2 linked regions of the Nothobranchius furzeri genome follow. The protein of the gene in region 2 interacts with the protein of the main gene of each other region in a pairwise test. Links are inferred from orthologs where the notes say so. Each region holds a gene or a part of one and is shown on either strand. Other genes may lie near its edges.

Evidence for each region. The genes of interacting proteins can lie anywhere in the genome.
Region 1: the proteins of rcc1l (region 2) and nme6 interact in binary tests that used the Homo sapiens proteins (3 or more experiments, as listed by UniProt). The link is inferred for Nothobranchius furzeri from reciprocal best matches to the Homo sapiens genes RCC1L and NME6.

What each region holds. Positions count from the first base shown.
Region 1 is NC_091742.1:1,574,755-1,578,508, reverse strand, and holds nme6 (nucleoside diphosphate kinase 6), read right to left. Parts: upstream 2,759-3,754; 5' UTR 2,535-2,758; intron 2,296-2,534; 5' UTR 2,293-2,295; coding exon 2,200-2,292; intron 1,985-2,199; coding exon 1,882-1,984; intron 1,675-1,881; coding exon 1,635-1,674; intron 1,101-1,634; coding exon 940-1,100; intron 659-939; coding exon 507-658; 3' UTR 418-506; downstream 1-417. UniProt on the Homo sapiens protein: Major role in the synthesis of nucleoside triphosphates other than ATP. The ATP gamma phosphate is transferred to the NDP beta phosphate via a ping-pong mechanism, using a phosphorylated active-site intermediate. Inhibitor of p53-induced apoptosis.
Region 2 is NC_091750.1:67,888,383-67,892,136, reverse strand, and holds the start of rcc1l (RCC1-like G exchanging factor-like protein), read right to left. Parts: upstream 2,730-3,754; 5' UTR 2,532-2,729; intron 71-2,531; 5' UTR 70-70; coding exon 1-69. UniProt on the Homo sapiens protein: Guanine nucleotide exchange factor (GEF) for mitochondrial dynamin-related GTPase OPA1. Activates OPA1, by exchanging bound GDP for free GTP, and drives OPA1 and MFN1-dependent mitochondrial fusion. Plays an essential role in mitochondrial ribosome biogenesis.

The DNA of each region.
Region 1 (3,754 bases), on a different chromosome or scaffold from region 2:
TCATGTCAGTTGTTTTTTTTTAATAAATTATAACATTTGAGGTTTCTGTTTGAAATGATTGCATATGGTTAAAAGATTAAAGAGCTTTTATATGGAATTTATTTTGTTGTTCTTAAACACTGGAAAAATATTTCAAACAGAAAATCAAAGTTGAAAATGTTTTTTTGAAAAATTGTAAACAATAAAAAAGTAAACAAGCAACAAAAATAACCTCAAAAACATTTTTAAAGGTTGAATTTTAAATCTAATCAGAATTTTGTTTATTAAAAAATTATAAAAAGAAAAAAAATTTTTGTCTGAATGAAAAAGTATTTTATTTTGAAAAATAGAAATTTTGTTTCTTGCATCGTCATGCTCTCAAAACTTAATTTTTTTAGTTTGAAGCACAATTTTTGACTAAATAATAAAAACACTAAATAAATTCCATACTTTTAATACAAAAGCAACTGAAACAAGACAGAGTGTATTCATGACAGACTTTAAACCCGCTCTAAGCTGGTCTGGGGTCAGCTGGGTGCCGACACTGTGTGGATCTGTTTTTGGAGGTCGTAGAGTATCCGTCCCGATCGGAATAATGGCTCGTCTTTATCCATCCACTCTTCTACGTGGAAATCTGGGAAGAAGAAACAGATTTCTCTTCGAGCTGACTCTGGAGAATCTGAAGAACACATCACAGATTTTAAAGGCTTACAATGTGAAAAATGCCAAACTTTGAAAGAAAAGAAGCTCTAACTTTAAGTAATATATTAATTCAAAAATGAAAACGACACTGAAAAAAGACAATGTGTGATTTCTGAGAAAGTAGTTTCTGCAAGGCCCTAGGAATCAGGATGAACCCACCAGACCACCTTTAGGCTCCATCTAACATTCCTCATTTTAAATTTGGATTAAACATCATTTTTTAAAACATTTAAGATAAAGGTTTGGAAAGTTTGCTACCTGAGCCATGAGTTGTGTTTCTAGTGTCTGTGAGCCCAAACTGGGCCCTGAGGGAGGTGGGGGACGTGTATCTGGCTCGAAACACTTTAGTGGGTCCCATCAGGTCCCTCCAGTGACGTATCCCGTCCTCCTTGGCTAAGATATACGCTCGCATGGGACCACTAGAAGGAAAAAGGAAAAGAAAACCTGCTTTCAGAAAAGGCATAAAAGGCTAAAATTGATCTGATTTCTTCACACCAAATATAATGAAAACACCCTTCAGATGAAGCTCATATTATTCATCTAAAAGTCTCACTCGATGACGATGTTTTCTTAGTGTGTTCTCAGTAACAGCTTCCCGTTTGAATGGTTGCCATGGCAACCATTTCACCACTGCCACCCAAGAATAGTGACAGCATAATTACATGCACTTTTTCCACCCCAGCGTGAGCTCGCGGCCAGAGGAGGAATCATCCAGATGTTTGTAGACGATCGCTGCTGGGATGTTGTGCTGAAGGGGTGAGTGTGATGACAAGTTCCAGAAAATGACCAGAGTCTTCCTCAGAATGAAATTAAAACACCAAAAAGAGCTGATCTGTGTCAGCTATAGTGGACTAATTAAACACTTACCAGTATTTTACAACTACTTTGTGATGTTTTATATCATTCTTGTGAGGAAATCCTCAGAATGCAAAAAAATTATTATGGAGGCTAACCTGGACATGAACTCAACTAGTCGTTGATAGAAGAATCGCTCTGTAGACAGAGGAAATTCAAAATGAAGCAAATCTCAAACATTATTCTTTTAACTTGAGTGAATTTATGTAAGTTGTTCCAAAGTATACATATTTACTTCATAAGAGACATTGCATGTGATATTCCTGCTCTAAAAAGCTGCTTCTTTCTTTGATCTCAAGCAGAAACTTTTAAAGTCCCATCTGATCACGTGACTTTTGTCCACACCTGAGTGTTCAGCGTAAAACTTCTCGGAGTCCTGTCGTCTCCACGCCAGCTCTTTGTTTCTCACAATCACAAATTTGTTTTCCAGAATTATCTGATGAAGAGCCTGAAATAAAAAAAGAAGAAACACAACATCTGTGCATTTTTCTACCATCTGCGTGTTGGAAGATATCTATTAAATGGAGAAAATCACTAGCTGTAAAATTTTAATACTCTGCAGAAATATAAAAGTAACATCAAATTCCCTTTGAAGTAAAAGACTGATGATTTTATGTCATTAAAGAGCATTTCATGTGTTTTGGGACAGACAGTCTTGTTTACCTCTGACATTAAGGGATGAGCCACAGCATCTGGTTTGATGACCGCTAGGGTGAGCTGCAGCACTTTAGACAGGCGAGTGGTCGTCAGTAACATGATCTAATGAATACACACGAATTATGAAGTAAATTAAAGCAAATGTTCGAACATCTGCTGGATATTTTAATGAAAAAGACCAAAATATATCTTTGAAATCATTCGGTTATTTTAATAAACACCTAAGATGTACCTACACCTGGTGTAGCAGCATTTTGGACACGTTTTACCGCTAATATACACGGAAAATAAAGTTTATAACCGTACAAAAATCATAACAGATTATACATTTTGATACCGACCTTTTTTTAGTTTTTCAGGGTGTAGCAAAAGCTAAAACGCCGCTGCACCAGTTTAAATTTCCACTTTTACGTAAAAGAAAACGTTGCAGAAGCTCTTGATAAAACTCCAATGCAGTAGTCATCAATAGCAGTTTGCATTTTAAGCGATAAATGTAATGAAACAACTTTAAGCTAGCTGAACGATTCCATTTCCTGATTTGTCCGTTTGTCAAAATCGTCCCCGAGAAACGGAACCTGTAAAGTTTGTTCCTATGTGAGGACAATAGAATTAATAGCTCTATTAATAATAATAATAATAATAATAATAATAATAATAATAATAATAATAATAACAACAACAATAATAATAATAATAACGTTATTACTCCTATTACTTTTACTAGTACTCCTAATAATAATAATAATAATGGAAATATATTTTTAAACGACTTTATTAAAATATTGCAAATGGCACAACATTCTGTATGGAATACAATACAATACAGTATTTATTTAGAAGTTTGAAATCATAGTAAATAACAAACAGCATTAAAACAAGAGGTTACAGACTCAGATTGTAAGGGGTACATGAAATCAACTTCATTTTTGGAACAGAACATCAATTTTGGTACACTACTTTTTTTCTCTATAGATGGGAAAAACAATAATAATTTAATATTTTTAATAACAAATTCTTATACTTACTGTCATTAGAAAAACAAAGTCTTTAACCCTATTTTAATATTAAATTGCAAAGTAAATATTATTTTCTACTCATCAATTATTTAAAATAAGCTACTATTCTAATTAATAGTTACTATTGAAAATACATTTCTCATGCCAGAAAGTACATACAGATTTATGAAACATGTAATCCAACAATACTGATGCATTTTTATATGCCTGATATTTTTCTTTGATGATCACATTAAACCCTTTCTCTATATTTTTCATTTGAACAAGCTACTTTTTTAGACTTCACCAAAGAATGCTCAGACCTTGTTTTCCTTAGTCCTTCTGCGGGTTAAAGTACTTTATTAAAATTATCTGAAACTGAAATTGAATTAATTATGTAATCACTACTGGAGCACTGAAATAATGTGTAAAGATGTTATAAAGCATCACAGGTACTAGCTTTACAGCTGCTCTAACACAAGATCTCTATCAGAACAAACACTTTGGGGCGGACTTCACATCAGTAGGACGATTTGGTTTCTTACACCTGTTGTCAACCAGAACCA
Region 2 (3,754 bases):
ATAACCACAAAGGTTAGGGCTCACGCTTATGTGGCGAGAACACAGACGCACGCGTGGAAAAGCCATCATCCTGGACAAAAACACACATAACAGGGAAAAAAAAGGATATGCATGAAATATTATTTGTAAAAATAAAAGGTTTTTTTTTTGCCATTTTTAATGAACTTGTAGAAACATCCATCCATCTTCGGAACCCGCTTTGTCCACGCAGGGTCGCGGGGGGGCTGGTGCCTATCTCCAGCAGTCAACGGGTAAGTAGGGAGGGTACACCCTGGACAGAGAGCCAGTCCATCGCAGGGCAACACAGAGACACACAGGACAAACAACCATGCGCGCACACACACACATACACACACACACACTCACTCACTCACTCACTCACTCACACCTAAGGACAATTTGGACAGACCAACTAACCTAACAGTCATGTTTTTGGACTGTGGGAGGAAGTCGGAGTACCGGAGAGAACCCACGCATGCACAGGGAGAACATGCAAACTCCATGCAGAAAGATCCCAGGCCGGGAAGCGAACCCAGGACCTTCTTGCTGCAAGGCAACAGCTCTAACCACTGCACCACTGCGCAGCCCCAAATTGTAGAAACATATCTTTGAAAATATTGAAATGTGAAAATAGTTTTAAAAAAATTTAAAGGTGCATTATGTAGAAATGAAGTAAAAATGTCTGTGGTAAAATTTGGTTACTGAAACCACTTTAAACAACTTAGGAGCTTTTTACCGTTAGTCGTCAAATTACAATTGTCGGCGCTGCAGTATTGGCTCGCAGGAGACATGACTACCCCACACTCACTCAGGGTTTTTCCTGCATTAAAATTTGTGTGGCAGCCACCTCCAGCTAATTTTGTGCCGCCCCAGCCTGATTTCACTCTGTCCACAGCTATATGGATGTTATTTTAACTGCAGTTGCAGAGTTGCGCCACAAGAGGGACGCTGTATCAGCAGCGGTGCACCGAAAAGCACTAAAACTGCTGCAGAAATAAATCAAAAATAGCTTTTCTCGCTAGTTGGTACATATCTATGGTTGGTGCTAGTGACGTCCTGATTTTCCCCCAGGCTCTTCCATATCAGAGCAGGGCTGTACAGTGCGACGAAAACAACTGTCTGTGCGTGTCTGTCTATTTTTAAACGTAGCACTGGTGCAACATCTTTGAATTTCTGTTTTCCCCAGAACTTTATTGAACAAAAGTAAGTTACGTGTAAGAAAAATGCTTTTTTACTGGCGCACAGTGTGGTCATCTGGATGCAGTGGAGGACAATAAAGGAACCAGCAAAGGCAGAACCGGTACAAAGTCTGGGATCAAAAGTGCAGCTACACTCAGATTGGCTAATGCTAAAGTTAACGGATAGCAGTCTCACGATCAAGTGGCGCACAGAAAAATATATGATGATGATGGTAAAACTAAGAAAGACTAAACTCTACAAGCGGATGAAAATTCCCCACCATCCTGTTTATTCTGCATCCTGCAGCGCTACGGATCAGAACCGCTGCAGATGTGAGTCATATTACTGCTGGCGCAGAAAGTAAGGCAAGCCGTTGTGGTATATTATTGAGTCTTTTATAATAATTTGCCTTTTAAAAAGTGAGTCAGTTGAATACACAGAGTATGCATGTGCTGGCGCATGGTCAGGATGGTACCACCTCTGCCTCAGTTTGAGCCAGGAAAAACCCTGTCACTGATGGTAAATAGTAGCTATGTCCCTCCTCCCTTTGTTTTGAAAGGAGAAAAACTGTCAATCCCCACAGCCAGCTGGGCATGGTGGCGCAGTGGTTAGCACTGTTGCCTCGCAGCACGAAAGTCGTAGGTTCAAACCTCGGCTGCGGCCTTTCTGCGTGGAGTTGCGTGTTCTCCCCATGCATGAATGGGTTTCCTCCGGTTTCCCCCACAGATCACAACATGCCCTATAGGTTATAAATTGTAAGTCGCTTTGGATAAAAGCATCTGCGAAATGAATAAACACAAACATTCAAAGTGTTTCAGTATAACCTTACTTCCAAAATGACTGAAGCAGACGCTTCTGGGATTTTCTAACTGTAAAATCCTCACTACATTCTTACATACTGCACCTTTAATGAGGTATTTATAATGTTCATGTTTGATATTTTATTTATGCATCCTTATATTTTTAGAATTAAAAGTAATGTATCATTCAGTCAAGTTTAGTTTTATAATTTAAGTACAATTATGCCAAGACAGGAAATTCAGCTGGAAGTACTACGTACCTGTTCGAGGTTTCTCAAAATTGTATTTTGATATTACACCAAGTTTGGTGCTTTCACGTATGCTATCTTTGCTCACATTTTGTCGAAAACCTTTAAATTGCAAATGTTTTTCAAACTGCAATATGGCCGAGTCTTAGAAAGGCTTTTATAAATGCGGATAATTTAATAAAATGTTTCCTAACTCCTCCGTGCTCAGGAAAACATGCAGATTTGAGTTAAATTTAAGGCTTAATGAACTGAGTTCCACCTCCGCTTCGTGTCCACGCAGCCCTGAAACTAGGGGTAAACTTACCTTTTATCGCCTTTTAACGAGTGTTTTACAACGTCCGAACGACTGGTTATGAGCTCTGAATAAATTACTAAAGCATAAATGAAAGTCGACTAATATATTTCAGGGTAGTTTAAATAAGAGCTAACAAACATTTTCCCAGTACAGTTGTGATCACAGCTAACGCTAAGCCCTTAGGACAGAGCGCCACCTGCTGGACTGGAGGGTACAACACCACGACTCAACATAATTGACCTAAAGGGAATTTGAAACCAGAATCAGAATCAGAATAGGTTTATTGCCATTGTCCGTGAACAAACAATTCACAAACTAGGAACTTGCTTTGGTACTAATGTGCTACATATAACATGAACAATAAGATTAAAAATAGAATAAAATAGAATAAAACTTTCAGCTATAAAAAATGGCTGGTAATGGTAACATGGCTGATAACGTGATGTTGTGTCAAGTACAGAAAACCAGCATGGTTTTGTGTTTATAAGCAGTTCACAAGTCTAACTGCAGATGGAAAGAAGCTGTTCTTATGGCGGGAGGTTCTGGTCCTGATGGACCGTAACCTCCTGCCTGAGGGAAGCGGCTCAAAAGGTCTGTGACCCGGGTGAGAAGGGTCAGCTGCTATCCGACCTGCACGCCCCTGAGTCCTGGAGACGTACAGGTCCTGGAGAGATGGAAGGCTGCAGCCAATCACCTTCTCAGCAGAGCGCACAATGCGCTGCAGTCTGTGTTTGTCCCTAACTGTGGCTCCAGCGTACCACACAGCGATGGAGGAGGTGAGGATGGACTCAATGATGGCCGTGTAAAACTGCACCATCATCTGGGCCGGCAGCTTGACCTTTTTCAACTGCCGCAGAAAGTACATCCTCTGCTGGGCCTTTTTGATCAGGGAGCTGATGGATGGCTCCCACCTAAGGTCATGTGTGATGGTGGTTCCGAGGAAGCGGAAGGAGTCCACAGTGGTGACGGGGAGGTCAGTCAGGACGACGGGGAGAGATGGGGCTGTGACTTTCCTGAAGTCCACAATCATCTCCACTGTCTTCTGAGCATTAAGCTCCAGGTTGTTGCTGCTGCACCAGTACACCAGCCGATCCACCTCCCTCCTGTAGGCGGACTCATCACCGTCAGAGATGAGCCCGATGAGGATGGTGTCGTCCGCAAACTTGATCAGTTTAACAGAGTCATGGCTCGAGGTGCAGCAGTTTGTGTACAGGGAGAAGAGCAGAGGAGAA